7 linked regions of the Bombyx mori genome follow. The protein of the gene in region 3 purifies or fractionates together with the protein of the main gene of each other region. This does not show direct contact. Links are inferred from orthologs where the notes say so. Each region holds a gene or a part of one and is shown on either strand. Other genes may lie near its edges.

Region 1 (4,036 bases), on a different chromosome or scaffold from region 3:
ATTTTGTAGGCAGCGGCTTGGCTCTGCCCCTGGCATTGCTGAAATCCATGGGCGACGGTAACCACTCACCTTCAGGTGGGCCGTATGCTCGTCTACCTGCAAGGGCAATAAAAAAAAACTTAGTTTTTAATAATGAAAAAATGGCGATCACAATACGATACACACTTGAAAATTTTTAAGTACGCATTTGAAAAATGCATGGTTTCATTAGATTTGATATACAAAATAAAAGAAACCGCTCAATGTTACTGGTGGTAGAAAGTCTTGTGAGTCCGCACAGGTAGGTACAACCACCCCGCCTGTTTCTGCCATGAAGCAGTAATGCGTTTCGGAGACTTTAGAATTCATATCGCAAGGTGAGTGGTGGCATTTGATGACATTGTAGATATCTATTGGCTCCTGTAACCACTTAACACCAGGTGGGCCGTGAGCTCGTCCACCCATATAAGCAATAAATAAAAAGTTCAGAACTAGGCAAACTTGTGCAGATAACAGATGAGACAGTACACGTAAGTAGAAAGATGCCACTCATCTTGAAGTTTCAGATGAAAATCTCAACGTACCTATTTTAATGCTCACGCCATCCAGCGGAACCAGTTAACTTTAACTAATATTAGTTACTAAATAGTGACGTTGCGCCGACATCTTTAGATGTCACAAATTAATAAAAACCAAACTAAAAAATAAAACTAAGGTATTTGTCCCCAGACTTACACCCAGTACATCCCGCTGTCGATGTACGACCTGCAGACGTGGATGGGCGCGCCCTCGCTCTACGTGTACGACTGCTCCAACGCCGGCATCATTGTCGACAGCTTCAAGTTGTTTGCTGATCAACACGAGAGGGAGTACGAGGTATCTGCTATATGATATTTGTTAAACCAAGGGGGTGAAAGGCTAATTCGTTTGAACGATGTTTATCTTTGTAATTAAAAGTGTGTTTTATTTAGTAATAGCATCAACAGTTCGATGTTTTTAATTGACCTTGAATTAAGTTTAATTAGGATTTTTTTTCCAAATTTTAAACTTTAAGTGACTCTTCTTAAGGTTGCAAAAACTTCGTTTAAATATCTCTATAACCCGTCACCCTTCGATATTCATACTAAGTAAAACTAGAGCATTTGCTACAGAAACAATAATATGGTAATCTGTTTTATCAGTACTATGTAGGGTTCATGTGAACGCTTCATAGGGTGACAACATTGTAGGTGAAAAAGTTGAGATACACAGTTTTAATTCATCATTTGTGGACAGGCTCAGAAGAATGAAGAAGGCACTTCGAGCATCCCTCAGGTCTCGTACAAGAACTGCATCCAGCTGGCCGCCTGCGCCGCCGGACAGAGCCTGCCCATGAACCCGGAGCTGCCCGCGGACCTGTTCACGGCCTGCCTCACCACGCCGGTCAAGACTGCCATGAAGTGGTTCGTGCTGAGGACCCGGACCAGATACGCCGACAGGGACCTGCACGACCTCATCGATAAGTCAGTATCGTCTCTTAATCTCGTGTTGTGGTGGTGCTCGGTGATAACAGTTGCCTGTGGACATTCGCAGTTCCACTGTAGTATTCAAGTCATGTAAAAATCGAACAAGAGATTCATTTTATGGTGTAATTATCACAGTATAATATATTTTTACTATATAAAAATGATGAATAACTTTAAGAAAAATTTGTATTGGCCTAAGGCAAACAGGGTTGATCAATGACATGTTTGCAGGCTACAAGTACACTGGGCGTCTTATCTATTAGGCCATGTACGCTTCTAGCCATGAGTAGTCTTGCGTGAGTAATTGTGTTCGAATAGTTACAGAAGTCTGTGCAGTTGGGTGAAATATCAAGGGTAAAATATCGATTCACTGAATCGAGTCAGAACTACATATCGATTTAAAAATCGATATTTTTTTTGGTTCGAGAAATCGATCCTTCGATTAATCGATCTCGAATCGCCATCCCTACTGTGCAGTCGGTTATTGACAACAGATTTTTATCAGCTTGACCTGTATCGATATGTATGTCGGAGAAACCGCATTATTAACACCATCGTCAGACATCGTAGGGGCGAATAGGGTGATCGAGCTAAAAGAAATATTGAGTACATAAAACACGTTTGTTGTCTTAGAACAATTTAGAAATCTTCTCTTGACGTCAGCAAACGAAAACGAATGCCAGTTCTTAGAATGGAGGCATCGCTCTTCAAGAAGGCTGGTTGGTAGGTGTCAATGATGTCTATACGCGCCTCCATCGCGATCGTGCTGCCATCTCTCGGGAATCGTACTGCGTTTCGTTTAGCTACCAAACTAATGACAGTCTTCGACATGTATGTGAGTCGACTATTATCAAAGCCGGCAATGTGACTTTTGGACAATTATTGGTAAATCAGAAAAACGAATTATTGACTTTGTATTCCATTGGCAGTCACAAAACTCTTCTGAACGACATCTTAGATAAATAACAGGTTAAGTATTAACCTTTATTTAATGCAGGTTTTGAACCGTATTCTTTGAAGGAGACGATTGTATTCAAATCAATCTGTATTGACATATCAATAACATTTTTTTGTCCAAATGCACAGATTGCCACCTTTGATAATAGACGACTCATATATGTGATGAAACCTCAATGCAACGACCCGGCTCCACGACCTCAGATCAGCTTGGATAGTTACGCGCGCACCAAGGGGAGATAACGAGACTACAGTCTTGTTACTTTGATATCGGGATATGCTGACCAGGAGCACTGAACTAAAAAATTATTACTTAAATTTGTATTCAGTTTTTCATATGAAAGCGTGTGTAATTAGTTTTTAAAGTACATTGAATTTGTTGTCCAGGATCCCTGGCCAAGTGACGGACCGCCGCACCATGCTGGGCGAACTGAACTGGATCTTCACGGCCATCACCGACACCATCGCCTGGAGCTCGCTGCCCGCCGACCTCTTCCAGCAGCTGTTCAGGGCCGACTTGCTGACGGCCAGCCTCTGCAGGAACTTCTTACTCGCCGACAGGATTATGAGGTTGGTGCTTTTACAGCTGGTGGGGCCCACCACGATAGCATTGTGATGTCTCGTAACCGATCAGAACTAAGAACTCTGCGAGGCTGTATAAAACTTCTGAACTTTTAATTACAGTAGTAGATTAATATTTTTTTTGTTATTTTATATTGTTATATTATTGAGAATAAAGGACATTTGACATTTTTGGGTATTGTCCTTTGCATGTCATTGACACTTTGTAACAAACAACATTCTTCATTTAACTATTTGTTGCTGCGCCCAAAATGCAATATAGAAAATAATAAATACATATTTTACATTCCTATTAATATAATGTTTTGGAAAATCCACCCTTACTTGCATACTCCTAGATCATACAACTGCACCCCCGTGAGCAGTCCGGCGCTGCCGTCACTGGCCGCGCACCCGCTGTGGGCGGCGTGGGAGCAGACCCTGGACTCGGCGCTGGCCCAGCTGGTCACGTTATCTTCGGCTCCACATCCGCTGGATTACTCCCACTCGCCGTTCTTCAGGGATCAGCTCACCGCCTTCCAAGTCTGGCTAGATCTCGGTAAATGTGAGTGCTTACTAGAAACCGTGGTAACCGGCAGCACTTGGTAGCGCATGGACAGCAGCTCGCGGGGGCGGGCCGGCCTGCGGGGCCTGTAAACAATCCCAAAATAATACCGCAAGCGAGTATAATACGGCTCACTTGATGGTGAGTGGTTACCGGTGCTCATGGTCAGCAATAGCCAGGCCGTTGTCTATGACTGGTATAGTGTAGTTTAGGGGAGGGAGGGAGAGGGAGCGAGAGAGAGAGTGAGGGAGAGTGCGCTGCAGGGTGCGGCGGGCGCGGCGTGCCGGAGCAGCTGCCGATGGTGCTGCAGGTGCTGCTGAGCACGCTGCACCGGGTGCGCGCGCTGCAGCTGCTGTGCCGGTTCCTGGCGCTGGGCGCGTGGGCGGTGCGCGCCATGCTGGCCGTCGGGATATTCCCCTACATGCTCAAGCTGCTGCAGGCCTCCGCGCCGGTGCTGCGCGCCTCCATG
Region 2 (4,693 bases), on a different chromosome or scaffold from region 3:
AGATCTATCAAACCTATTCTCATGTATTGAAGTATCATGTTCATTGAGTATGCATCAACCATCTGGAAGTGGATATAGAAAGAGTAATTTTTTTAATATTCAGTAATTTACAGTTCTTCTTGTTTACAGTCCTTTTTTATTTTTAAGTTACACTATCATATTGTAGGTAGATATTTATTCCCACAGATGTCCTCAAATGGACATAGGCCTCTCCCAAACCACAATGATCGGCCTGCACTGCTTGCGTCCAGCAGATCCCGCATACCTCAATAGGTGGTCTGTCCAACGTGTGGGAGGCGAGGGAGCTAGTGTGGGTAGCCACACTACGTCTACGGTACGTTCTATACATAGAATATTATAAATAGAATAGTTAGCTGTCAACAGCCTACCCTCACCAAACGTTCCACAATGAGGTATGATTGAGGTACCATTAACATCAAGGAATCGCAAAATTATCAATTTACTACCCACTACTACTAGATAATTATGATTAAAAATTAAACATTTTGCGATTATTCATAGAGTTAAATCCATAATTATTGTTTTAATTGTTTGTCATTTTATACATTAATTTAATTTAGCTAACATAATTTATAATTTTCCTTACATCAATTTTTATTTCCTGTCGTTCGTTTTCAATATAGTTTCCACTGAACATTGCGCGAAAATAGTCGCTGTACTCGCACAAAACATTTTTGTTCGCCGTGAATCTCTGATTTTCTATTAAAAGTGTTACTTCTTGAGTGTCCTCCATCTCCTTATTAAAATCCAATAATCATATGTTATAAATGTTCAATAGAGTTAAATCAATTTTATCAAAAAGCTAACCCGCAAAAATTTAAATAAATTCGTTGGCAGTGGGGTACGGTATTCTGTATGTTTATGTTTACCTCATGGAGTTAATAAGTACCTAGTTTACCTACATTCGTGTTTCTATGTTTACGACAACGCAGGGAGCAATTGTCACTTGTCAGTTGCACCCATAGACCAGTGGTTGCACCTAACAGCTGATTTTGAGTAATAGGTTCCATTTTTCAAACTGGAAAGGCGAAGGTATGAAAAGGAGATGAAGTTGATTAATTTAAGACATTAATAAATTAGAATGAAATTAAATGAAACAAGATAATATGGGATGAAATATAGTCTCAACAAAATGGCGGTTATTTAGGTAGTTCCGTTTCACTTTTTGGAAGATACCGAGAAGTTACGTCCAGTAGATTTGTTTCCTTTTCCCACATTTGTGCACTTTCACCGATACTAAATAGTTAATAAACCACCATTATTAAACATTAATTAGAAAACTACCATTAAGTAAAGGTTAATTACAGAGCATAATGTGACTCAGTGACGCACAATGCCGAATTATGCTGAAGCTTAGTTGAGCATTATGCCGCATAATGCGCTCTTGTGCTGTAATTGGAAAACGGCCAGCATGTGTACATCTATGATTGATCTTGACATTTAAGCGGATGTGACTTTTTGGCGGGAACGCGAGGAGTAAAGTTGGGTGATTTGTTTCATTTTGTCTATTTAGTGTTTCTTCAGGTTTAAATGTGTAATAGCAGTGGTTTATTAACTGTTTCATATCTGTAAAAGTGCACAAATGTGGGAAAGTGAAACAAAGCCGCTGGACGTAACTTCTCCGGGTCCTCCAAAAAGTCCACTGAAAAAATCTCAGTAAATGACCACCATTTTTCTGAGATTATATTTCATCCCATATTCATCCCATCATATATTTCATCCCATTTCATCTCATTTAATTTCATCTCAATTGATTAATGTCACAAATTAATCATCTTCATTTCATTTTATTTCACTCCATATGAGGCCTATAAAATCAAAGGCAGCTAAACGCCTCAATGTCGCAAAATGGATTAACAATGGCGCTATCTTGTTTAGTTAGTTGGACACGCTTTAGTGTTTTCATGTTATAACAAATGCAGCTAAATCTCTAACAAATTCAGATCAAAAAATTTATTTTTACTCTGTACTAAGAACTAATAAACGAAGTTTTATCATTTAAAATTCAGATTATTAGTAATATTCTCAGTCTTTATGTGCTTAAAATGTGCTTTAAATTAAAGAATATCGTAGCTATCCGAACAAAGCTATTTCAGCTTCTCAAACCGGGAGTGTTGCTAACACTGGCCTTACCAAGAGCAGTACTTCGATGGATCGGGAGGATCCGTAATGACGTGTTTAGGGCTGATTTTTGCAGTTTACCTGAATATTTGACAGACTTGGATTTAGCTGCCTTTGATTTTATAGGCCTCATATTATCATTTTTCATAAAAATAAGAATATAAACTAAATTAAGACATGACTTAAAGGTTTTAGTTACCAGGTCATAAAATCTCTTAAAAAAATAAGCGGATGTCTTCAGACTTCAGTGTCGACTTTAAAAATAAAAATAGTGATTGAAATTTTAACGCGTATGTTACTTACAAGTTTGCTCTAACAAACAATAAAAAAAAAATTAGTTAAAATTATTTTATAATCCAAATCGTGTACTCCAAAGACACCTAACCTTGTAAAGTTATTTATAAGCAACTGAAGTTTGAATATTTTTAAATGAGCCGGTAATTGTTTGAAAGCCACGGACAATAATGAATACCACTGCTTCAGCAACTACGACTTCTTTGGATGAAGATGCTGACGAATGCGGGCCACAGCTGATCAGTAAATTAGAGGTGACGTCATGTGACAAGCTATAACTTGCTTACAAATATTACTGGATTGAACTGACTTATTGGATACAATGCGCAACTTATACTGTAGATAAATTCTAATTTATTCCATTCTCTTAACTATATTTCTTTTTAATGTGTATATGAAATAAATAAATAAACATATTGGATGATAATAAAGTGCTCCTAAGAATCCTATCTATTTATGCTTAAGTAAATCTACATATCCTGCCTTGGAGAGTAAGATATCTACATTCCAAATAAAAGATCTCTCAAGAAAAGAAAAAACAAGGGTAAAAGAGGGTCAAGTTTATCTGCTCTAAGAATTTTCAAATAGATCTCCAGAAGACACAAAAACGTTCTGTAAGAACAACATGAGTCTATGCTCATATTAAGTCAAATTCTCAGTTGTATTGCATTTGATGCTACTTAATCGTTCAACCTTACTTCATTGCAACATTGTGTACATCATATATATATCTAAATTTGGATTGTGATAATTTGTTTGTTAAATAATAAAAATATGGAATAATTTATTTTAGGGCAATGGCATCACATCAGGAGATATAAAAAAGCTTGAGGAAGCGGGATATCATACTGTTGAATCTGTTGCCTATGCTCCAAAAAAATGGCTAATCACAATTAAAGGGATATCTGAAGCGAAGGCAGATAAAATATTAGCTGAAGCATCTAAATTGGTGCCAATGGGATTTACAACAGCTACTGAGTTTCATCAAAAGAGGTAGGTACCTTTAAAATTATTTATTTATATTTTTTATTATTAATTAATGAAACGCCAATATGGCTAAGGTTAGTACAAAGTTGTGGAAAACATTTAACACATGCAAAGTATGTAAAAAAGCAAAAAAATTAGTACCTTCCTGCAGGATTTGTACCCCGTCTTTGTTACATAAATTGTTATGTCTATGTATCTACCTTAGGCTATAATGACACAATTATTGGACCTGACATAAGGGACACAGCTCAAATCCCAGTATCGAACTAGTAATGTATAGTCATATTCTTGACACAGAAAATAACTGCAGCTAATACTTGTATTAGATTTTTTTAATTAAACCAAATCTACATTGAGTATTGTTTGAATTCTTCCAGGGCTGAAATAATACAACTTACTACTGGTTCAAAGGAATTAGATAGATTACTGGGAGGTGGTATAGAAACTGGTTCTATAACTGAAATATTTGGTGAATTCCGTACTGGCAAAACCCAATTATGTCACACATTAGCAGTCACCTGCCAGGTACAATTGAATTAAACCAATTTGCAATAAAAGTATATAATAATAAATATTAATAATGTATACTATAATGATATGTGATAATGTGTAATATTGCATAAAAGACGATATGTGTAAGTGACTTCATATAAGAGCGGAAGTGAGCGAAGAAATGGTTTATGATAGAGGTATGGTAGGAGAAAACATATTGCGCCAATCCCAGGTTACTGGGAGTAGGGCAGGAGAATGATGTTGATGATGAATGTATAATATAGGTAACGTAACGGCCGTCTGGTGTAGTGGTAAGTGACATGGTCACTACACAAGGGGGTACCTCTAACACAAGTTCTTTACGAACTTATCACGGGACTAGTTAACGTGGTGTGATTGTTAGTAAATAAAAAAAAATAATACTAATAATAAAAATAAAAAAAAAAATAATAGTCATAAATGTTCATTTAAAATATTAGAACTGTAAGGTCATATTTTGATGTAAAAAATGTTTAGAGGTTAACAACAAAGGGAAGATCTTCCACCCAGCAGGTGTAATTTCTCAGTGGCAGCCAAAAAAAATTGAGAAAAAATTGTTCAATGAACAATGTCGCTTCTATGTAATATTGTAAAATGTAAAATATCTAATAATTTCATTATTTTTTTAAATAGAAATCCCATATTGGTAATTTTAAATTACTGAAAACCAATTGCCTTGGCCTTATTAAATTTTCCCAGCTACCCATTGAACAATCTGGTGGAGAGGGTAAATGCATGT
Region 3 (4,783 bases):
AGTTTGCGGGTTTTATTGCAATTTAAAAGTTCTGATTATCGTTTAGAATCGCACTCCGATGTAAACCCAAACGATGTTATGCAATCGAGTATCCTCCGATGTCAACTCAGATCGTATCTGCGCATGCAGCAATCAATACGAGAGGTACCGGTAACAAAGGAGGAGGCGGGAATAGCTGTGCCTCATAAGGTTGGCGGGACGGGGAGCATTTTATTGGGAAATGGGAGTATGATTTCCCCCCACCCATGTGCAAAATAGGGTGCGCATAAAGTGTGATATCGATTTCGGGAAACTTCCGAACTTACGGAATATTCATGGGACTCAAAAGCTTACGTTTGAGGCTAAAATCTAGCCGATATCTACGTAACGATGCATGCCACCCAAAACCTTATTGTTTTTCCACGATAATCACCACGAGGAAACTACGAACACAAAACAAACATTTCGAAGCGGGAAATATAAATTGGCAGTTGGGCTTGTCAGGCTATCAACATATTTATTTATTAGAGCTTTGAAGTCGTAGTGATCTAAAGAGTAAAGAGTAAGTTGCTCGGCGTACTTGTATCAAGCAATGCGACTATACCGGTGTTCAAATTCCACAAACCAATACCAAAGTAAATAATAGGTACTTAACACGTGTTCACGAAAGACTTGTACGATAAGGATACTTCTTTCTAAATAATTCATAAACAGTTGTAATATTAAGACACTGAGTTCGTTTTTATTTAAACGTTAAAATGTCTTAACTAGAATCAAAAGCGTACAGAGTAAGCCCAGTTACGCCAGTATTAAAAGATGGTACTGCCCTGAAGAACAACTAGTCTCCTATTAATAGATTGTAATAATTGTTATTTAAAGATAACACATTGTTTAGTCTATAATCAAAAACAAGCAGGGTAAGGGCCGTGACGACAGTATAACAAAGCGGCATGTGTCTGGAGAAGGGAATGTTAGTCAATCCTCTCAGACTAAGCCCCGTGAGCTCGCCCACCTGTCAAAGTGATGCCCTATTTTATAGTATACGTAATTCCTAGTTGTAGGTGTTACCTGCGTGGACGGGTAGCACCATTCTGCCTATATCTATCTGCCTTGACGCAATTTATACGATCGGATTTGAAGGGTGGGATAGTTATTACACAATACAATTGAGACTACATCTCATGGCTCTTCACACTGATATCTATAGGCTCCAGTAACAACTTTATCCCAAGTGCACCATGAGGCATTTACCATTCTACACGATAAAAACAAAATACATTATAAGGCATTCACTGACAATGCCAGTTTAAGTTAGAACGTTAGATGTTAAGGCATCTAGGCAATTGAAATCAATTCTATTACATTGCTATTTGCATGAAGAAATATTTGTTATATAAATTATATTATTTGAATATTTTATTGATAGAATTATATATTTGTAGAACTGTAATTAAATATTTTCGAGTTTAGTATTCACATCGGGAACCGGTATCAACAAATGTCTTATTGGATACACAGATAACAATAAACAATAGATAAGCTAATCAATACCTTCGAAAACATAAATACTTGTTGTTTCAGCAGGTATACCTTCATCACTGAAGTCATTCATTAACACGTGTCAGATATAAAAATTTGTAACTGATAGAATTTATTTTACTAATAATGCCATAGACGCTTCTAATGCCTCACCAACATTATTTAAATAACAGAAAACATAATTCTACTCTGTGATTAAATAATCAGAAAAAACTTACCATCCGTGTTTTCTGGGAACATTGTAGTCGCAGTTATCTCTATTTCACAGTCATCATCTCTAATATCTGGATTCTTGCAGTGAACGTTGAGCTTAATCAGCCCACTCTCCAAAGACACTAGTGCAGTCATCATTTCATCATCTGATGAAATTATAATGTCATCACCTTCCTCATCTGAAAATAACCATATTTAAACCATAATTGTTAATCAACTTAAACTTAGAGAAACTGTATTTATTTACATAGTAGAATAAAAACAAAAAATTGATCACCTTTCCATGATACTTTATAAATCTTGTTCCGCAGCTTTGGGTAGACTTCTTGCAGTTTCGCATTCAAATAATGAAAACTGCTCACAACAGTTTTCTCAACACCAAATCTCCTTACTTCTGGCTGAGCATTCTCCTCAAAAAATGCATAAACTTTAAATGGAACTTGGTCCTCCATTTTCTAAAATCAAATATATAAGATATTATGCATTAAAGGACTGCAGCAAAAATAGAATTGAAATAAATACATAGTTGAAGATGCACCTATAGAAAACTGTAAGTATCAGGTGTAAGATCTATGTATAAAGAAGCAAAGATAAAGCAGTTCTGTTGAACAGTAGCGTTTTTCCCTTCTGTTGGTCTTTACTTCCAAAGTTTATATAAAAATTCGGAAACCGTATTTTTTTTGTTTCCGTCTATAGAAGAAAACTGTAATGTAATCCAATAAATCAATCTAATTCAAAGGTGAATCAGTAATTTTAGTAAAATTATGACCACTGGGCGAACACTATTAAACGGAAACACAAAAACGCAAAGATTTTAACTATTGTTTTTAAAAAGGTTTACAAGTGAAAAAAGTTCAATAAACATTAAATGTTAGTGTTATCGCTGCAGCATCAATTTTTTTAACTTTGGTCCGCATGCGCAAAATGATAGGCCATTTTGTTCAATAAAGCCTGATTTTGTTGGCTTTAGATATATTATTCTTGTTGTTTATATAATTAAAACAATTGTATCCAATAGCTTAACTTACTGATTTATATAAATGCACTGGCCGTAAAATGACACAAATAACACGTATTAATACCGGCGTTACAACTAATTAATGGTGTTCTTGAGGCTTTGAATTACTTTTTATATACTTTTATGCAAGCACTATGAATTATGATTCACGTATTTTCGAATGTTAGAGAACGATACAGAAAAACAATATTTTGTTGTGCAATACAGCTGACTTTTTTAAAGGGATATTATGACCTGGTAACTAAGATCTTTAGGTCAAGTCTTATTTTAATTTTAATGAAAACTGCACTCTACGAAAAATGATAACAGGAAGTGAAATGAAGTTGATTAATATGAAACATGGCATGAAATGAAATGAAATTAAATGAGATGAGATGACATGGGATGAAATATAATCTCAGTAAAATGGTGGTCATTTACTGAGACTTTTTCAGTGGACTTTTTGGCGGGAGCGCAAGAAATGAAGTTGTGTGATTTTTTTTTATTGCTTAGATGGGTGGACGAGCTTACAGCCCACCTGGTGTTAACTGGTTACTAGAGCCCATAGACATCCACAACGTATATGCGCCACCCACCTTGAGATATAAGTTCTAAGGTCTCAAGTATAGTTACAACAGCTACCCCATCCTTCAAACCGAAACGCATTACTACTTCGCGGCAGAGATAGGCAGGGTGGTGGTACCCACCCGCGTGGACTCACGAGTGGTCCCACTGTAACCACCAGTTATAACGAAAATTATAATTTTGGGGATTTGATTTTTAATACACGATGTTATTCCTTCACCATGGAAGTCAATCGTGAACATTTGTTGAATACGTATTTCATTAGAAAAATTGGTACCCAGCTGAGATTCGAACCCCGGTGCATCGCTCAACACGAATGCACCGGACGTCTATTTAGTGTTTTTCACTTCTTCTTCAGTTTCAATGTGTACCTAATAGCGGTGGTTTGTTCACTGCTTAGGACCTATCTGTGAAAGTGCACAAATGTGGGAAAATGAAACAAAGCCGCTGGACGTAACTTCTCGAGATCCTCCAAAAAGTCCACTGAAAAAATCTTAGTAAGTAAATGACCACCATTTTACTGAGATTATATTTCATCCCATATCATCTCATTTCATTTAATTTCATTTCATCCCAGCTGATTAATGTCTCAAATTAATCATCTTCATTTCATTTCACTGAATATCATTTTTCATAAAAATATGAATATAAATTAAAATAAGATATGACTTAAAGGTCTCAGTTACCAGGTCATAAAATCCCTAATAAAATCTACTTATTGAGACTTTTTGCGGGAACGCAAGTGAAGTTGTGTAATTTGTTTTATTTTGTCAATTTAGTGTTTCTTCGGGTTTAAATGTGTAATAACGGTGATTTATTAATTGTTTAATATGTGTGAAAGTGCACAAATGGGGGAAAATGAAACAAAGCCACTGGATGTAACTTCTCGGGATCCTCCAAAAAGTCCACTGAAAAAATCTCAATAAATGACCACCATTTTATTGAGATTATATTTCATTCCATATCATCTCATCGCATCTCATTTAATTTCATCCCAGTTGATTAATGTCACAAATTAATTGTCTTCGTTTCATTTCATTTCACTCCATATCATCATTTTTCATAAAAATATGAACACAAATTAAAATAAGACATGACTTAAAAGTCTCAGTTACCAGGTCATAAAATCCCTAATAAAATCTACTTATTGAGACTTTTTGCGGGAACGCAAGTGAAGTTGTGTAATTTGTTTTATTTTGTCAATTTAGTGTTTCTTCGGGTTTAAATGTGTAATAACGGTGATTTATTAATTGTTTAATATGTGTGAAAGTGCACAAATGGAGGAAACTGAAACAAAGCCGCTGGATGTAACTTCTCAGGATCCTCCAAAAAGTCCACTGAAAAAATCTCAATAAATGACCACCATTTTATTGAGATTATATTTCATTCCATATCATCTCATCGCATCTCATTTAATTTCATCCCAGTTGATTAATGTCACAAATTAATTGTCTTCGTTTCATTTCATTT
Region 4 (4,036 bases), on a different chromosome or scaffold from region 3:
CGAATTGTGTAAATAAATCAGTTGTAAGAGGGTCATATTCAGCAGAGATATGAGACATGAGAGACATGACTGTATTCGTGTAGCAATTTTTCTAATGAAATACGTACCCAACAAATGTTCACAATTGACTTCCACGGTGAAGGAATAACATCGTGTAATAAAAATCAATCCCGCAAATTTATAATTTGCGTAATTACTGGTGGTAGGACGCTTGTGAATCCGCACAGTTAGGTACCACCACCATGGCTATTTCTGCAGTGCAGCAGTAATACGTTTCGGTTTGAAGGGTGGGGCAGCCGTTGTAATTATACTGAACCTGAACCTTAGAACTCATATCTCACGATGGTTGACGTCATTTACGCTGTAGATGTCTATGGGCTCCGGTAAACACACACCAGGCCGTGAGCTTCCACCCACCTAAGCTATAAAAAAATAAAAATAAGCCTAATACAGAAAGGGGTTAATACAGAAATTATTGTTTCGATGATTTTAGATGTAGGAGAATGGGAGCCGGAGGGTTCGGGTGAGTGCGGCGCCCGCGTGTGGTGCCCCGACCTGCAACACGAAGGACAGTGGCATCACCTCGCGCTCGTGCTTAATCGTGCTGTCCTCAAGAATTCCTCTTTTTCCCTTTACTTGGATGGTTAGTTTTGTTTATCTCTGATTAATTATTATGATTAAATTCATTTATTTCAGATAAAATATTAATCCCTATGTTAGTAACAGTGACTTCTTAAAAAATATGTTAGTAAGGACATAGTAACATAACAAAACAAAATAACAACATACATACAATTACAATTAATACAGTTTACAATTACGAGTACATTTTGTGAACCTCTCTACAATGATTGAGAAATTTAGTTGTCTTCTAATTCTTTTTCGGCAAGACAATTGAAACATCATGCATAAATTGAAAATCGCATTTAACTATTATATTATGTAGGTTTATTAGGTATTCATTCGTTACTATCAATCAGCCGAAAAATACGTAGCATTCTAGGATTATTAAATTTCGGCAAAAGGTTAAATAACCATGATTTCAAATTAAAATTGAATTTTTATTTTTGACTAGCGATCTGCCCTCGCTTCGCTTCGGAAACATTAATTTTTTTTATTATTGATAGCTGAGTCTCGCGATGTTACGCGCGGTTATTGTAGTGGCGCGGGTGACGCCGCGAGGCGAAGTTAGTCTAAAAGTAAAACAGTTAGGCCTAAGTTACTTATATCATCAGCTATCTATCAGTGAAAGTCTTGTCAAAATCGGTCCAGCCGTTTCAGATATTAGCCGGAACAAACAGACAAACAAAAATTGTAAAAAATGTTATATTGGTGTATCTATATACGACCCTTTTTTAAATCTGCCTTGAAAAATATTACAAAGCACTCGTCTAATGGTAGGCAGCGGCTTGGATCTGTCCCTGGCATTGCTGACATCTATGAGCGACCACTTACCATCAGGTGGGTCGTATGCACGTATGACTTCAAAGACCATATAAAAAAATTGCAGGTCAGCACATGCACTCCGGGAAGCTGCACTACGTGAGCGCGAACCCCGGGGGCGGCGCCGCCACGCTGTCGGGCGCGTCCAGCGTGTACTGCGTGCTCGGGACGCCCCCGCAGTGGCGGCGCTACTCGCGGCTGCTGTGGCGACAGGGCCCGGCGCTGCTGCTCGAAGACGTGCGTACCATTGTCACAGCATTCCCGATCCCGCGGTCAGAATGGAAAGCAGACGACGTCGCCCCAAACGCGTCATTTCGGATCCTTCCGATCAACTAACGGTGCTTTTAGGTACCTCAAGCACTGGTCATCGTTCTCGATGCTCGACGAGTAAATTAATCCACAGACACAGCCCACTGAGTTTCTCGCCGGACCTTCTCAGTGGGTCGCGTTTCCGATCCGGTGGTAGATTCTGCGAAGCACGGCTCTTGCTAGGGTTCCTGTTAGCAACGTCGTCAGGTTTGAGCCCCGTGAGCTCACCTACTAGTTAAGGTTACGCTGAAATAGCCTCTCAAGGCTGTCAGCCAGGTAGGAACATTTTTTTTTGCATTTCGTGCTGTTGGGTCCCTCACTACTAATTGTAACCTCCCTAACTATTGAGCTCATGTCTTCCTAGCGTTACACAGTAACTAGACATATTGAGGCCAAAATCTGACCCCTTGAAACACAAAGTCGAGGCCAAAAATTAATTGTTGTCTTCATCTCTGTTGACTAACCTATCTCACTATGACCTCATCAATCACAGCTAGACCTGCCATAGTTAATTTTTTATTTATTTGTATCTAATATCATTTAAAGTCTTTTAGAATTTTTGTAAAAACTGGATAATTAACAGTTATTATGAAATAGACTGTCTGTTTATTGTTTAGTCAGTCAGTGGTGTTCCACGGGTATTTTTTATTTGTTAAATAATTGGGTGGACGAGCTCACAGTCCACCTGGTGTTAAGTGGTTACCGGAGCCCATAGATATCTACAACGTACTACACTTATCTCTTCAGATTTTACTTTTTTTAAATAGTATTGAAATTCTTCATATAGATGTCAAGATAATATGGCTGTACATTTTGTATTGACACATACATACATTTCTAGGTACTCACAGCACAGACAGTGTCGGTTATATACCAACTGGGTCCCCATTACGTGGGCACACTGCAAGCTCCACTGCCGCCGGGACAAAACCAAGAACCTCTGACGCCTCTAGTCGCAGAAGAAAAAGTTATTTTCGGAATTAATGCACGAGCGATGTCTCAATTGACCCTCGCGAAGATAAGGAAAGTGTACAGTAAAAACGACAACAAGGCCATCGCAAAGCAACTGGGCATGTCGTCGCACGAAAACGCAACCCCGATACGGATACTCCACAACTCCGCGGGACACCTGATGGGACCCGCCAGATGCTTGGGCGGCACCGTGGTGGGCTATTTGGGAGTCAGAGTATTCTGTTCGAAGCCAGCCGCGATTATGGTAATTATACATCTGACTAAACAAGCACAATGTATTGTTAAATAATATCAAGAGGCAAATGGCTATTTAATGGGTTAAGCGACATTTTTGCAACTTCACAGGAGAGACATTTAAATTTTTTTAAATTTTGGAAAAAATATCAGAACAAAAACACTACTTCAACTATTTGAAAGGAGTAAATTTAATTGAAGTTTATTTAAAAACATCGAATCATTCATACTAATACCAAATAAAATGGACACCTGTAATTACAAAGATAGATGTCGCGTATTAAGTGAAATGTTGCTTAAACCAAATAGCCTTTCAAACTTCGATATATTCTTTGGATACATCTTAGTCTTTGTTGTTAAATAGCTTAAAAAAAAAAGTGTAGGTTGATAATTTCGACTGTATCTATTTATTTGTATTATCTTAAAACTTCTTTAGGTTAACCAATTTTGTTGTATCTTTTTTTTGGAAACTGTTACTTATGTGGTTCCGCTTCACATTTATCAAGATCTGATCGTTAGTTTTTGAGTTGTCCTAAATAATTCATATTTAATTGACTTGGACTGCATTGATAATATTTTAATTTTACTTTTAAAGAAGTTGGTTTTCTTTTTTGTTAAAATTTTATTTAATTTTTTTTCATAGATTGACACGGTGGGCGGTTGTTCAGTGCTGTTGGGCTTGATCGCGATGGCACAAGACGTGGAATGTTTGTACGCCGGCGTTAAAGCGCTAGTGTGCGTCGTTCGATCGAACAAATCGGCTCAAGCCGAAATGGACCGGCGGAAGGGATACCAAACCTTAGCTATGTTATTGAAGAGGAAAAAGCAGCTATTGAATTCTCATATACTCCACCTTGTATTTGGACTGGTCGGAACTGTGGACAGCCAGAAGGAAACATCGTCTATTCCTAATTTGACAGCTTTTCAAGTAAATGTTCTGTTAAAATCCAAATATGAGTTAATTTTGCAAATACAAAAAAAATTCAAAATTAATTTTGTATTTATAATGTTTTAGGATCTCATCTGCGAGCTAGAGGTGTGGCTCGGCGCCCCCGGTGGCCTGATTAAATCGTTACTG
Region 5 (4,827 bases), on a different chromosome or scaffold from region 3:
CCTTCTCATAAAAATGATATTGACAAATTAAATTAATTATTTTTATCTTTATTAATTCCATAGAAAAATGGCTCACAGCCCAAAAATGTTAAGCGGTTACCAGAGCCCACAATATGAGTGTCAACTGTACAGCATAACGGCTAACCCACCATCGGAACGAATTACTGCTTTGAAGCAGTAATAGGCAGAGTGATGGTACATAGCTTGCGGCCTACAAAATGCCCTTACACTAGTAACATACTTATATTCTCAATTACGTTTGGTTTTGGGTTCATGTCTGAAAATTGTAGAACCTCGAAACTGGCAAACAATGGCATCTCGATTGCTATACTGAAAAAAAAAGAAGAGTACAAATAGATGCATTTGTTGTTTGTTCTAAGAGTTGCATTTGTTTGTATTTTTAAGCGAAAGCATGAATTGTAGTGTAGACATCAGTTTCAAACTTCAGACCAACTCAGCGCTTCTTAAATAATATTATTAAAGGGCTTAAACATGTTAAAACCGTGTCTAATAAATAATAGATCTGCTTAGTGTTTGGATGTACTGAAATTAGAGGAAATGAAACAAAATTGATTGACATGCTTAGTTTTTAGGATTATTTTAAAGTCTTTAAAAGCCGTTACAAAGTTTCACTCTTTTTTTCATAGAAAAATAGGGAACGATTAAAAGCAATCGTGGCTAAAAGTCGAGTCGTTAATGGACGTAAATAAATTGTAACGAAATGTTTAGAGTCAAATATGACATTTACAGTGATACAAGAAAAAGAAAAAAACAACAGATAATGGATTAATTAGAAAAAGAAAAGATCACGTTTTTAATCATAGAAAGTATTGAAATTAGTTTTTGAATCTTAATTATAATATACTGCATAGTAACAATCTGATTGTGTGGGTAACGTGATTACATACAAACTTCAAGCTACTGGTACTACTTCCCTAAAATCCATCTTTAAGGCACTACCTAGTTAGCACAGGTTATAATCTTCCCTGTAAACAAAAAAGTAATGTTTCAGCCACTACCAGGGTTAAGAATTAAGTAGCAGTTGATATTTGCATTATTTTATGATCCTCCTCCCTGTGTCACATTCCTCATATCTGAAGACCGTGACCATCTCCTCTCATTATCCTTCTCTAGATGATGTTTCGCCATCTTCCTCTGTGTTCTCGGCGGTGTGTATAGCATCGTAGACGGTGGTATCCAGAGTAGTGCGGGCTTGGTCGGACCAGCGCTGCAGCGCATTGGATTGCGGCCACGAGACCTTTTGCCTGCAATCTTCCCAGTTACTATAAATTTTTCAAAATCGTCAAGATCGTCAAATATCCTCTTGAGGCAGATGGTAGAGAGCCTGGTTTAGATATAGAACCGTCTTAATATCCATCCGTTAGTCCGATATGCTGTCCACGAGATTCATAGCATCTTCCTCCAGCACCACATCTCGAAGGCACCAATGCGGTGGCGATCAGCTGATTTCAGAGTCCACGTCTCAGCACCATAGAGAAGCATTGAGACCACTAGAGTTCGGACAAGTCTCATTTTGGTTTTAAAAGATATTTTGCTATCTCTCCATGGTCTGATAGATATGACTTTATGATATCGTATGATTAATTCATAACCTCCGCTTACATCCGCTTAATAGACAAAATGAAAATAGCAAAGAGTAGCTTTTCACCAATAGCGGCTTTTTACGAAAATGAAGCGGTAACCCCAAAACGCTTTCTTGATCTGTGGTGTAAAATAGGTCAGAGTCCAACTCTCCAAGTTTTTTCACTAAATAGAATACAATTATTTTGAAGTTTTTATATTTTAATTTAATTAATATTTAAACGTTAGCATTTTATTGCAGAAATCTTCACTGTTTAAAGAAAAATTGTCCGAAGTGCCGTACTAAAATGGCTTCACAAGTCGCTAAATCATTGATAAAAGCAAACCACGTACGATCTACTGTTAAGTTCGGTAAGTTGCAAATTATACAATTAATTTACGATAAATATACAATAACGTCCCAAAACAAGAGTCCAGTTACGACCATCAAAGCATATTAAAACATGTTTATGTAACAAATCGGTTGTTTTATCTATAATTTTGAAAAGCAAACTTTGGACTGTGATCCTGGCAGACTTGTTTATAAATTTGCTTGTTTGTTGCCAAATTATATTAATAGAAAATGTTTTGTCCTGACATTTATTTTGGAACTTCAATGTTTTGTCTAATATTTCTTAGACAAAATAAATTTAAGGCAACATACAAACTTTACTATGAAATAGAACAAACAATACGTACACAGACAATACACACAGCCCACACACGACTTCCACAATGAAGGAACATCATCATGTAATAGAAACCGAACCTGATTTAATTAGAATTTGTACAAATATTTTATTTTTGATCTAAACAAAAGTATTTGAATGTTTAATTGGGCTAAACATTGACAAGTTTTTAGCTTTTCGCCCAATATATTTTATGTGGTAATATAAAATGACTTTTTTTTATAATAGATACTGCCAGACGAGCGCTGAGTGTAGCGCCAGTACTGCAGCAGAAGAAATCTCTCCCAGACCGTACAGGCAAGAATGTGGTGCTTGTCGATGGAGTCCGCACTCCATTCCTTGTTTCATTCACCGATTATGCCAGGATGATGCCCCATGAACTAGCAAGACATGCACTTCTGTAAGTTGATTTTAAAGATTTATTAATAAGACAAGATTAAAGGTAATCTTGATTAACATATATATATTTTTTTATTTTCATAAGACTTTGAGAGGGACTAAAATAGTTAAGCAATCTCGCTGTCTCCCTCTTTCTAACTATGTATATCACATGTTGGTTGGTCAGCTTTCTTTAATTTTCTCCTCTACTTAGCTGTCTTTGACATCATCGTCAGTGACATTGAATACCCTCTTCTCCTTCAGCACTACCAACTTATCTTGGGTCTTTCTCTAGGTATCTAACTGGTGATGTCAACTGACTGCGTCAAATTTCCAACATAGTCTGGTGGCCTCTTTTTTGTGTTTTTATTCTGTTACGAGCGAGCTACTTTTTTGAAGTATCTGGATTTATTGGTTAGATGGCTGGACGAGCTCAGAGCCCACTTGGTGCCAAATTGCTATCACAAATAAATATCACACAAAAAAAAACAGGATGTATTTTTGCTCTATGTTATTCCTTTGTTGTCCAATTAGTACTTGACTGTGGGATTGGATAACTGATACAGTAGCATTACTCTATAATAATGCACAGGGCATCTTATTCTCTAGGCCACAACTAATTTTATTTATTTATTGCATAGTTGGATGGATGAGCTCACAGCCCACTTGGTGTTAAGTAGTTACTGGAGCCCATAGATATCTACAACGTAAATGCCGCCACCCACCTTGAAACTCGACACTACAACGGCTGCCCCACCCTTCAAACCAAAACGCATTGCTGCTTCACTGCAAAAATAGGCGAGGTGGTGGTACCTACCAGTGCATACTTACAATGGATCCTACCACCAGTGATTACGCAAAATATAATTTTGCGGGTTTGATTTTTATTACACGATGTTATTCCTTCACCATGGAAGTCAATCGTGGTGAACATTTGTTAAGTAAAGTGGATTCGAACGCCGTTGCATCTATCAATACTAATATACTGGACGTCTTATCCTTTAGGCGATGACGACTTTTATTAATATTCATTTTTAATGTATATTAAAGTAATGTAAGACAGTATATGAAATATGTAAGATTTTAACCTGAAAAGAAAGAAGGGTAGAATTGTATTTTTTAACAATCTTCACCAAGTCTGTATACTTGCACAACAACCATGAAGTCATTTGCTTAATTGATTGCTGTGTGTTTATGTTTTAAAAACCCAGCACTTAGTAATTTTTTTTTATGAAGGAGAATAAGTACCATCACTAGTACACTACAGAGATCTTTATTTTGTGTCTTATGTCTATTTTCATAGTGGTCTCCTACAAAAGACTGGTATATCGAAGGATGTCATTGACTACATTGTATATGGCACCGTGATCCAAGAGGTGAAAACTTCAAATATAGGGCGCGAGGCAGCCCTGGCGGCTGGGTTCAGCGACAGGACTCCAGCGCACACCGTCACCATGGCTTGCATCTCTTCTAACCAGGCAATCACCACTGGTGAGGGCTACAATTTATTTGTGTTTTTTATAATATAGTTGCATCTCATTCTTTGTATATGATAATGATTACCACATCTGTGTTTTAATTATCATAAAGATCTACAGATATCTCGTCAATCTTAAACTCAACAACCAAAATGTTTAATATTTTTTTAAACATTTTTAATAAAAATTGATTTGAGTACATATAGTCATAACTCAGCCATTCATTAGTTTTCTTTAAACTTCTTTATATCTCTTGATCCACCATCTCTCCACATAATGGAGATGTTGTAATTGTGATTTGTGACAGATTTGATTTTTAATTCCCTAGATCGGTGGGTAAGGCCCACCTGGTGTTAAATGGTTACCGGAGCCCTTCAACATCAACGTAAATACCCATCTTGAGACATGAATTGTTAAACTCAGTTATATAGTAGACAGACCCTACTATTCAAACTGAAACGCAGTACTGCCTCACGATAGAAACAGGCAGGCTGGTGATACCTACCTGTTCCGGGCTCATGAGAAGTCCTACCACTAGTAAAATCTCCGAGTCGACAACAAAAAAAATCTACAAAAAACCATTGTTTTTTTTTTAAATTGAAAGTATTTCTATGCTTGATATCAACTTTAATTACCTTTAAAAAGAAGGACTTTTTTTCTAATAGATAAAAAATGACGTATAAAATAATACTTACATTACA
Region 6 (3,159 bases), on a different chromosome or scaffold from region 3:
TGATGGCGGGACATCGTGAAACGCGTCAATCTAAAGTATCCAAACACTTTTTTTCCTACCTATGCTGATAGCTTTAAGAGGCTATTTCAGCGTTACTCTAGCGAGTAGGTGAGCTCTCGGGGCTCAACTCGGAAGTATTGCTAACACTGGCCCTAGTAAGAGCAGTGTTTCGCAGAATCTACCACCGGATCGAAAACGCGATCCACTGAGAAAGTCCGGCGAGAAACTCAGTAGGCTGTGTATATAGGTTAATTTACTAGTTCGACAAGGACGGTGACCGGTGATTCGAGCTACCTAAAAGCACCGTTAAAGGATCGGGAGGATCCGTAATCACGTTTCCCAAACTCTACATGACGATCACGACCACTCTGTCAAGAGTGAAACGGTTGTGAAGAAGAAGGGTGTTTAAAGTACTAAATCCAAAGTCGAACCGTCACAATACAGGTTTCGTCATCTGTTCGCAATCACTAATTATTAATAATACATGTATTATATCACAAGTTGGTAGCAACAACACAGTCTAGCAATTAAACTAATGTTTACCCGCGACCATGAAACAGTTTTCATACGCAATCAAATACAACAGTTGAACAGCTAAGAAAATCGATACATAATGTTTGATAAATATGAAAATTTACATAATATGTTTGTTATTAATTCACAGAAAAAATATAATGTTTATAGTATTTATAGATAATTTATAACTTGTTTTTTTTTATATTCATATGTTATGAGTTAGCTCAGTCTCTGGCACTACTGACTTTCATGACGTTAACCAAAGTCAGGTCGGTCGTATGGACGTCGCCTACCATATAAAGCCAATAAAAAAAGATATAGGAAAAGTTTTATCGTGGTAAATAACATAACCCGGACAATGCCGAGTATATCTGCTATAATAAATACCATAGTGCGTTCCCTGGTTCGCGATTCTACGTAACGACAGGTCTCCAGATCGGCTCGTAGTTTATAGGTAGGATACAGAAGCAATCTTTATCCGGCAATATGTATCTTTGTTGTTTCTGAACTACAAATCTAAATAAATTAAATTATTGTTAATATAAAAAATCATTGGAGATAATTTCGTAAATACTGGCAGTACTATTATCTTTTCTCATAATCTTAATAATAGGGATTAAAGTATGGAATTGCCGTTCTATTGTAATAGGAACTTCGAACTGACATAGAACCTTCATGGTTTGAGATTTTTGAGTGAAACTTTTTTCAAATGGTACCTATGAGGTTCTTCTTTAAAAAAATGTGCTACATTCGATTATCGAATTAGTTTTTTTTTATTTAGCTTAGACAAATCAAACACGATCAAATAATACTTGCTATATTAATGGAAATTAAGTTAAATAATGATATAGAATAACTACGCTAAGTGCTCTTACGTGAACGGCCCCCAATAATTGATCGAATGAGTAATCAAGATGGACTTTTAAAATTTTTATTGAAGTCAATCTTTATCATTTAACGGTCTCTTTGAAAACTCGTCCGCATCGCAACATGTAATTGTAAATTAATTGATCACGCTATGTCATCAGATTTGAACTTCTTGAAAAATAATGCCCTCATAGTTGTAGGTACATAGTAGTTGTTAAATGTATTTCAATGTCGATCTGACACGCAAAATGACCTTGATTCTGACAGGACAAATTATGTAAACAAAGAAATATGAGAAGTCGTCGTGGTCCGAAAGTTAAGGCGTTCGGTTTACTCGTGTCAAGCGATGCGACTATGCCCATGTTCAAATCCCACAGTTTTTAGAAAACACGTACATAGCACGTGCTCGCTAAAGACATCATCCTTGATGCATGAATAACGACGTCTTTTTTTTATTGCTTTGGTTGGCTTTTGGCTCACGGCCCACCTACTGTTAAGTGGTTAGTGGAGTCCATAGACATCTATAACGTAAATGCCCCCACCCACCTTGAGATATGAATTCTAAGGTCTCAGTATACTCGTAGTTACAACGACTGCCCCCTCCCCCTTCAAACCGAAACGCATTACTGTTTCACGGCAGAAATAGGCAGGGTTTTGGTACCTACCCGCGCGGACTCACAAGAGGTCCTACCACCAGTAATAATGTTATAAAAATCAAACCCGCTAAAGCAATTTTACGCATGACTGGTGGTAGGACGTATTGTAATCTCGCACGGTTGTATTGGTACCACCGTCATGCCTATTTCTGACGCGAAGCAGTCACGTGTTTCAGTTTAAATCGTCAGATAGATGTTGGAAAGTATATTGAAGACATTGACCATATTTCTCAAAGTGAGCGGCGGCATTCAGTTTGCCGTCTCAGGTCAAAGATCTCTACCTCACATCAGTATTTTAACGTTTCATGTTCAAGGGCATCCTCCATGTAAATATTAATAGTAGATTAAGTAAGTCTTCTTCTTTTTAGATTTTTTTTTAGATTAGTTTTCGTTATCATTATTTTATCCTATATTTGTAAGGAACATTGTGTACTCAACACATTTATCTTGATTAGTCGTGCGCACATGGCTTATGTTAACAGCCAGATTTTTTACTTGTTGTTATTTATTGTGTATCTTTTTTTTGCTTTTTATGTGTATTGTGTGCCTAATAAATAAAGTAAATAAATAAATTTGATCCAGGTAACCGGCATCGAAGGTACGTACCGCTTCACCTGCGAATCTGTGATGCACGTCCTCCACAAACACAGAGACAGCGTAATGGCTGTGCTCGAAGCCTTCGTCTACGACCCGTTACTGAACTGGCGGCTTGTAGACAACGACCATCACTCCATCACGGAGTCCTCGTTCTCCTCAGACATAGACTATTCGTACACCCTCCCGAACAGAAGCCGAAATCATTTGCTTTACGAATCACCAGAGATCCCGCCCGAGGCTAATCTAAATAAACGCGCGGTCGCCATTTTGAACAGGATTAGGGACAAATTGACCGGAAGGGACTTTCCTAATGTTGAATCTATAGTGAGCGTGCCCCAACAAGTGGAACTGCTCGTGAAGCAGGCGACAAGCAATGAGAACCTCTGTCAGTGCTATATCGGCTGGTGTCCATTCTGGTAGTGGACCAACTGTAATGGTATATATATATATATATAACATTTCTGTGTATATATATATATATATACACAGAAATGTTAAGCGAAAACCAACTTCGCTCGATCTG
Region 7 (4,036 bases), about 11 Mb from region 3:
TATACAATCATTAAAATTGCTGTAAACTAAGCAATGCTTACCTACCTTCTAAAAAGGTTTTTTGATGTTAATTGGCTGTACTTAAATACTTAAAAATATAGTCTCCCACTGCATCCTTATCAAACAATACAATGGTGTTTCAATCTCGCAAGCACATACCCATTTTTCAAATGAAATACATACTTTACAAATGTTCAGTATGAATTTGCTCACTGAACTAAATACACTAAATATAGTTTCAAAAACAATTTAAAGTGATGTTGCTAATTCGTCTAGTAAACTTTAATGGAAACTCTTCATTGCTGCTTTACTTTATCATCTTAGCTTGGTGTAAAGAAAGATGAGTGTTGACAGGCTGGAAGATTTTTTAAGTGGATACTCACTCTCTCACTATCAGGCTACGTTAGAGATCTGATAATGTTATTGAGAAAAGCTAACATAATAATATACCAAATAAATTCTAAGTAAATCAGGTGAAAATGAGGTATTATTACAAAAAAAATTTTGAATTACGATTTTTAATTTTCAAACGACATTGTATGTTATCTAATTATCTCAAAAGTGTAATTAAATTCCAGCACATGATTGATAAGAACAAAGTATAGCTGAGTGCTCACTAGGGGACAAAATAAATGTTTAAATCTTTTTTGTAATTATATCATATCTATAACCTTGCTTGGCAAAGCATGTATTAGCATTGAGGCTACTGGTCTAAAGAGAGTAATAAAAATACAATTTATGTTAGGGGACAGAGTCGCGCGCATCTCTCAGTAAATTTACTGGTTTCAAAGTAAAGTAATATTATTTTTTATTATTTTGTCACGGTTAAACAATAAATTTTATTACTCAGCAATTACTATTTATATAAAAACTACTTTTCAGTCAGTTGCTAATCAGTATCAACGACTTCAAGAAATAAATTCTATGTATATTTTGTAACAGCTTAGTTTAATATTGAGAGTTGTTTTTTGTCTTTAAATCTTTTTGTGTCATTTTTCAGCCTTCAGCATCCTTAATAGCAGCTAAAAAGAAGGCTCAACAGAAAAAGAAGCAAAATCATTTCGTAATGGAGATCAGGGATCATTTTCAGATTGTGAGTATTTTTTAGTTTATTGCTTGATGTCAAGTGTAACGGCCCTTTTACGATGCACACAGTATGGTTTAATATGATACTTTTCACACTCACAGGTATATGGCATGTTAGTCATGGGCTTCTTAAAATACCGTAACTGTCACTAAGATGTGTGATATGCTAGTTTTGAGAATTAAAAGAATGGATTACCATTAAGTAAATTACTATTAAGTAATCATTCACTTGGTAGGCAGCAGCTTGGCTGTGCCCTAGCATAACACTACCCAATTCAATAAGACATTTTTTAATGGTGGTAGGATCTCTTGTAAGTCCGCACGGGTAGGTGTCCCCACCCTGCCTATTTCTATAGTGAAGCAGTAATGCGTTTCGGTTTGAAGGGTAGGGCAACCGTTGTAACTATACTTGAGACTCTGGAACTTATATCTCAAGGTGGGTGGCGCATTTGCTATGGGCTCTAGGAACCACTTTATACCAGGTGGGCTGTGAGCTCGTCCACCCATCTAAGCAATAAAAAAAATGAAAAAAACAAGTTAGAGAATTTTCATTAGGTGGTATTCAGTGGGAGTAATGCACTCAATTTACTGCATATTTAAATTCTATTCATATACGTACATACATATTTTTTGTATTTAAATCATTGTTATGTGTGTAAAAAATATGTAAATATAAAAAAGGCAAAATGTAATTTCCAGTAGGTATCACCAACCTGCCTATACCTACCACCGAGCAATTATTCATTCTGAAATGAATAGTACAACAGCCTAAACAACCTTATTAACATTGCAATGTCTATGAGTTCTCATTATTAAATATCTCGTGAGCAATGAGCTAACTGACCCGTGTAACGAAAAAAGTTTTTGTTTCTTATCAGGCGATGGAATCGAAGACATTAGTGAAGGGTCCAACCGGATTTGTCACCGAGCCTCGCATGGGAGAACACAGGTGCTTGTGGGACGAAAATTACCCAGAATGTCCGGAAAGGCTCATTAGTGTCATCAAGAGGTCAGTAAAAAATATGTAATCTACACTGCTCATAGGCTTTTAACTGCCATACCATGTAATAGAAATAGTCTTGGAGCTGCCACAGTCACTATTTAAAAACTTGATCAGAAAAACATTCTTTATTATTTAGGTTATTTAGGTAATTATGAATGACTTAATGTATTATAAAGATAACCAACCGTAGACCATTTTTGGTATAATTTTCTTTATGTTTAAATTATTTATCAAAAAGTTAGAGTAGAGTTTAAGACCCCAGAAAAAATACCAAAATCAACTACTTACAGAAATAAATATGGCAATATATCTAAATCGGTGTCTCCGTATAATACAGCATAGAAAGAGGGCTAATTAAAGAAGACTAATAGACTAACATTGAAATATAAAGATTTCTATTATAGATAAGATATTATTGTTAGATATTTGAAGTTATACATAAAATAGTATTATTAATGCCGAATGTGATATCCCCTGTTTTCCAATTACAGCCCAAAAGCGCATTATGCGGCATAATGCTCAACGATAATATAAACAAAATTTCGATCAATGCCAACTTAAAGAAAAAACACTTGTCAATTTTCTGTCACTGAGTCGGTATCGATTGCGAGTATCACGCGAGAGCAGTACTTTTGAGAGTGCTCGATCGTTGCTGTAGTTGAAACATTCAATTGAAACATTCAACGTTGAGCATTATGCCGCATAATGCGCTCTTGTGCTGTAATTGGAAAACTACAGGTGGCAGAAAATTGACAAGTGTTTTTTTTCTTTAAGTTGGCATTGATCGAAATTTTGTTTATATTATCGTTGAGCATTATGCCGCATAATGCGCTCTTGTGCTGTAATTGGAAAACAGGGTCTGTCTGTTACATTTTCACATCCAAACCACGATTTTGACCAAATTCGCTATCGGCACTCCGAGAAAAATATAGGCTAATTTTCATCGCAATACTAACTTTAGGCCAAGTTGTAATAAGATCTATTTTACTTTTTTTATTAGTCTTTGGCGGCATTTACAAAGGATAATGGGTTGGATACCTATTTATTGGAATCCGTTTATTATTATGTATGTACTTATTAGATCCGCGAATATAGGAATTGGGTCGCATTTTTTTAATCCGCGAATAATGCAAACACGAATAAAGGGGCGCGAATAAGAAGCTTTTACTGTATATTAAAAAATAATTGTAGTTGCTCCAGAATCTTTCCCCGCACTCTGGGGCTACATCCAGGCAGCAATCCTGAAGAGATTTAATGACGTGTTCAGGTGTCAGGAACTGAACCTGGTCCAGCGCTGCAAGCACTTGGAGCCCCGCGCGGCCACCAAGGAGGAGCTCTGCGTGCTACACGCGCCCTCCGTGTACGAAATGTTAGAGACGACACACGGAAACGACGACGCCGCGTATTTGGAAGAGCTCTCATCGAAATTCGACGCTATTTATATTCATCCAGTAAGTGTTTAAAGATTAATCATGTATGTAAGTCGGCGCGTGTTTTTATAAACCATTAGTTCATGACTAATAAAGATGGGACGACAAACAACACGTGCAAGCATTCATCGAAAACTACACGTGCAAGATAAGAGTCGTAAACAACATCGTCCCACCACGATACCTTGCTATTTTTATAGCATTATACGCTCCGTTGTTGTCTCTCGAGCTCAGAAGCGAGCGAGTCGCCGTATCAGACGGAACGCTCCTGCGTAATATACGCTCCGAGTTAACATTTCTAGACCGCCCGCTTACCATGTCGCTACCCCAAAGTAGAAATACTCCAACATGTATAGCTATGTTGTATTTACATATCCATGGGTGAAAGGCTATGACAGTTCGCTTAATACGCGACATTTATATTTATAATTAAAGGTACGTTTTATTTGGTATTTGCATCATGAGTTCGATGTTTTTAATTGAACTTCAATTAAGTTTACTCCATTGAAATAGCTGA

Evidence for each region.
Region 1: the proteins of sequestosome-1 (region 3) and rptor purify together in Homo sapiens (affinity purification with western blotting; 3 studies listed by BioGRID). This does not show direct contact. The link is inferred for Bombyx mori from reciprocal best matches to the Homo sapiens genes SQSTM1 and RPTOR.
Region 2: the proteins of sequestosome-1 (region 3) and Rad51 purify together in Homo sapiens (affinity purification with western blotting; 3 studies listed by BioGRID). This does not show direct contact. The link is inferred for Bombyx mori from reciprocal best matches to the Homo sapiens genes SQSTM1 and RAD51.
Region 4: the proteins of sequestosome-1 (region 3) and WD repeat and FYVE domain-containing protein 3 purify together in Homo sapiens (affinity purification with western blotting; 4 studies listed by BioGRID and IntAct, with this or other methods). This does not show direct contact. The link is inferred for Bombyx mori from reciprocal best matches to the Homo sapiens genes SQSTM1 and WDFY3.
Region 5: the proteins of sequestosome-1 (region 3) and trifunctional enzyme subunit beta, mitochondrial purify together in Homo sapiens (affinity purification with mass spectrometry; 3 studies listed by BioGRID and IntAct, with this or other methods). This does not show direct contact. The link is inferred for Bombyx mori from reciprocal best matches to the Homo sapiens genes SQSTM1 and HADHB.
Region 6: the proteins of sequestosome-1 (region 3) and TOR1 purify together in Homo sapiens (affinity purification with western blotting; 4 studies listed by BioGRID, with this or other methods). This does not show direct contact. The link is inferred for Bombyx mori from reciprocal best matches to the Homo sapiens genes SQSTM1 and MTOR.
Region 7: the proteins of sequestosome-1 (region 3) and histone deacetylase 6 purify together in Homo sapiens (affinity purification with western blotting; 6 studies listed by BioGRID). This does not show direct contact. The link is inferred for Bombyx mori from reciprocal best matches to the Homo sapiens genes SQSTM1 and HDAC6.

The regions. Positions count from the first base shown.
Region 1 is NC_085123.1:794,702-798,737, forward strand, and holds part of rptor (regulatory-associated protein of TOR), read left to right. Parts: intron 1-708; coding exon 709-855; intron 856-1,254; coding exon 1,255-1,481; intron 1,482-2,828; coding exon 2,829-3,011; intron 3,012-3,361; coding exon 3,362-3,567; intron 3,568-3,830; coding exon 3,831-4,036. UniProt on the Homo sapiens protein: Component of the mechanistic target of rapamycin complex 1 (mTORC1), an evolutionarily conserved central nutrient sensor that stimulates anabolic reactions and macromolecule biosynthesis to promote cellular biomass generation and growth.
Region 2 is NC_085131.1:10,828,187-10,832,879, reverse strand, and holds the start of Rad51 (rad51 homolog), read left to right. Parts: upstream 1-1,481; 5' UTR 1,482-1,677; intron 1,678-2,330; 5' UTR 2,331-2,606; coding exon 2,607-2,690; intron 2,691-3,229; coding exon 3,230-3,429; intron 3,430-3,800; coding exon 3,801-3,948; intron 3,949-4,653; coding exon 4,654-4,693. Other genes in the region: kelch-like protein 26, read right to left, coding at 1-62, 608-757, 924-1,031.
Region 3 is NC_085111.1:6,305,816-6,310,598, reverse strand, and holds the start of sequestosome-1, read right to left. Parts: upstream 3,040-4,783; 5' UTR 2,760-3,039; intron 2,187-2,759; 5' UTR 2,184-2,186; coding exon 2,009-2,183; intron 1,911-2,008; coding exon 1,737-1,910; intron 155-1,736; exon of another isoform or gene 1-154. UniProt on the Homo sapiens protein: Molecular adapter required for selective macroautophagy (aggrephagy) by acting as a bridge between polyubiquitinated proteins and autophagosomes.
Region 4 is NC_085118.1:8,496,974-8,501,009, reverse strand, and holds part of WD repeat and FYVE domain-containing protein 3, read left to right. Parts: intron 1-493; coding exon 494-643; intron 644-1,510; coding exon 1,511-1,680; intron 1,681-2,593; coding exon 2,594-2,968; intron 2,969-3,601; coding exon 3,602-3,886; intron 3,887-3,973; coding exon 3,974-4,036. UniProt on the Homo sapiens protein: Required for selective macroautophagy (aggrephagy). Acts as an adapter protein by linking specific proteins destined for degradation to the core autophagic machinery members, such as the ATG5-ATG12-ATG16L E3-like ligase, SQSTM1 and LC3.
Region 5 is NC_085126.1:9,561,899-9,566,725, forward strand, and holds the start of trifunctional enzyme subunit beta, mitochondrial, read left to right. Parts: upstream 1-1,615; 5' UTR 1,616-1,738; intron 1,739-1,745; exon of another isoform or gene 1,746-1,767; intron 1,768-1,843; 5' UTR 1,844-1,889; coding exon 1,890-1,953; intron 1,954-2,498; coding exon 2,499-2,670; intron 2,671-3,951; coding exon 3,952-4,139; intron 4,140-4,827. UniProt on the Homo sapiens protein: Mitochondrial trifunctional enzyme catalyzes the last three of the four reactions of the mitochondrial beta-oxidation pathway.
Region 6 is NC_085109.1:10,789,749-10,792,907, reverse strand, and holds part of TOR1 (target of rapamycin), read left to right. Parts: intron 1-2,621; coding exon 2,622-3,056; 3' UTR 3,057-3,159. UniProt on the Homo sapiens protein: Serine/threonine protein kinase which is a central regulator of cellular metabolism, growth and survival in response to hormones, growth factors, nutrients, energy and stress signals.
Region 7 is NC_085111.1:17,639,411-17,643,446, forward strand, and holds part of histone deacetylase 6, read left to right. Parts: intron 1-1,000; coding exon 1,001-1,093; intron 1,094-1,964; coding exon 1,965-2,095; intron 2,096-3,356; coding exon 3,357-3,540; intron 3,541-4,036.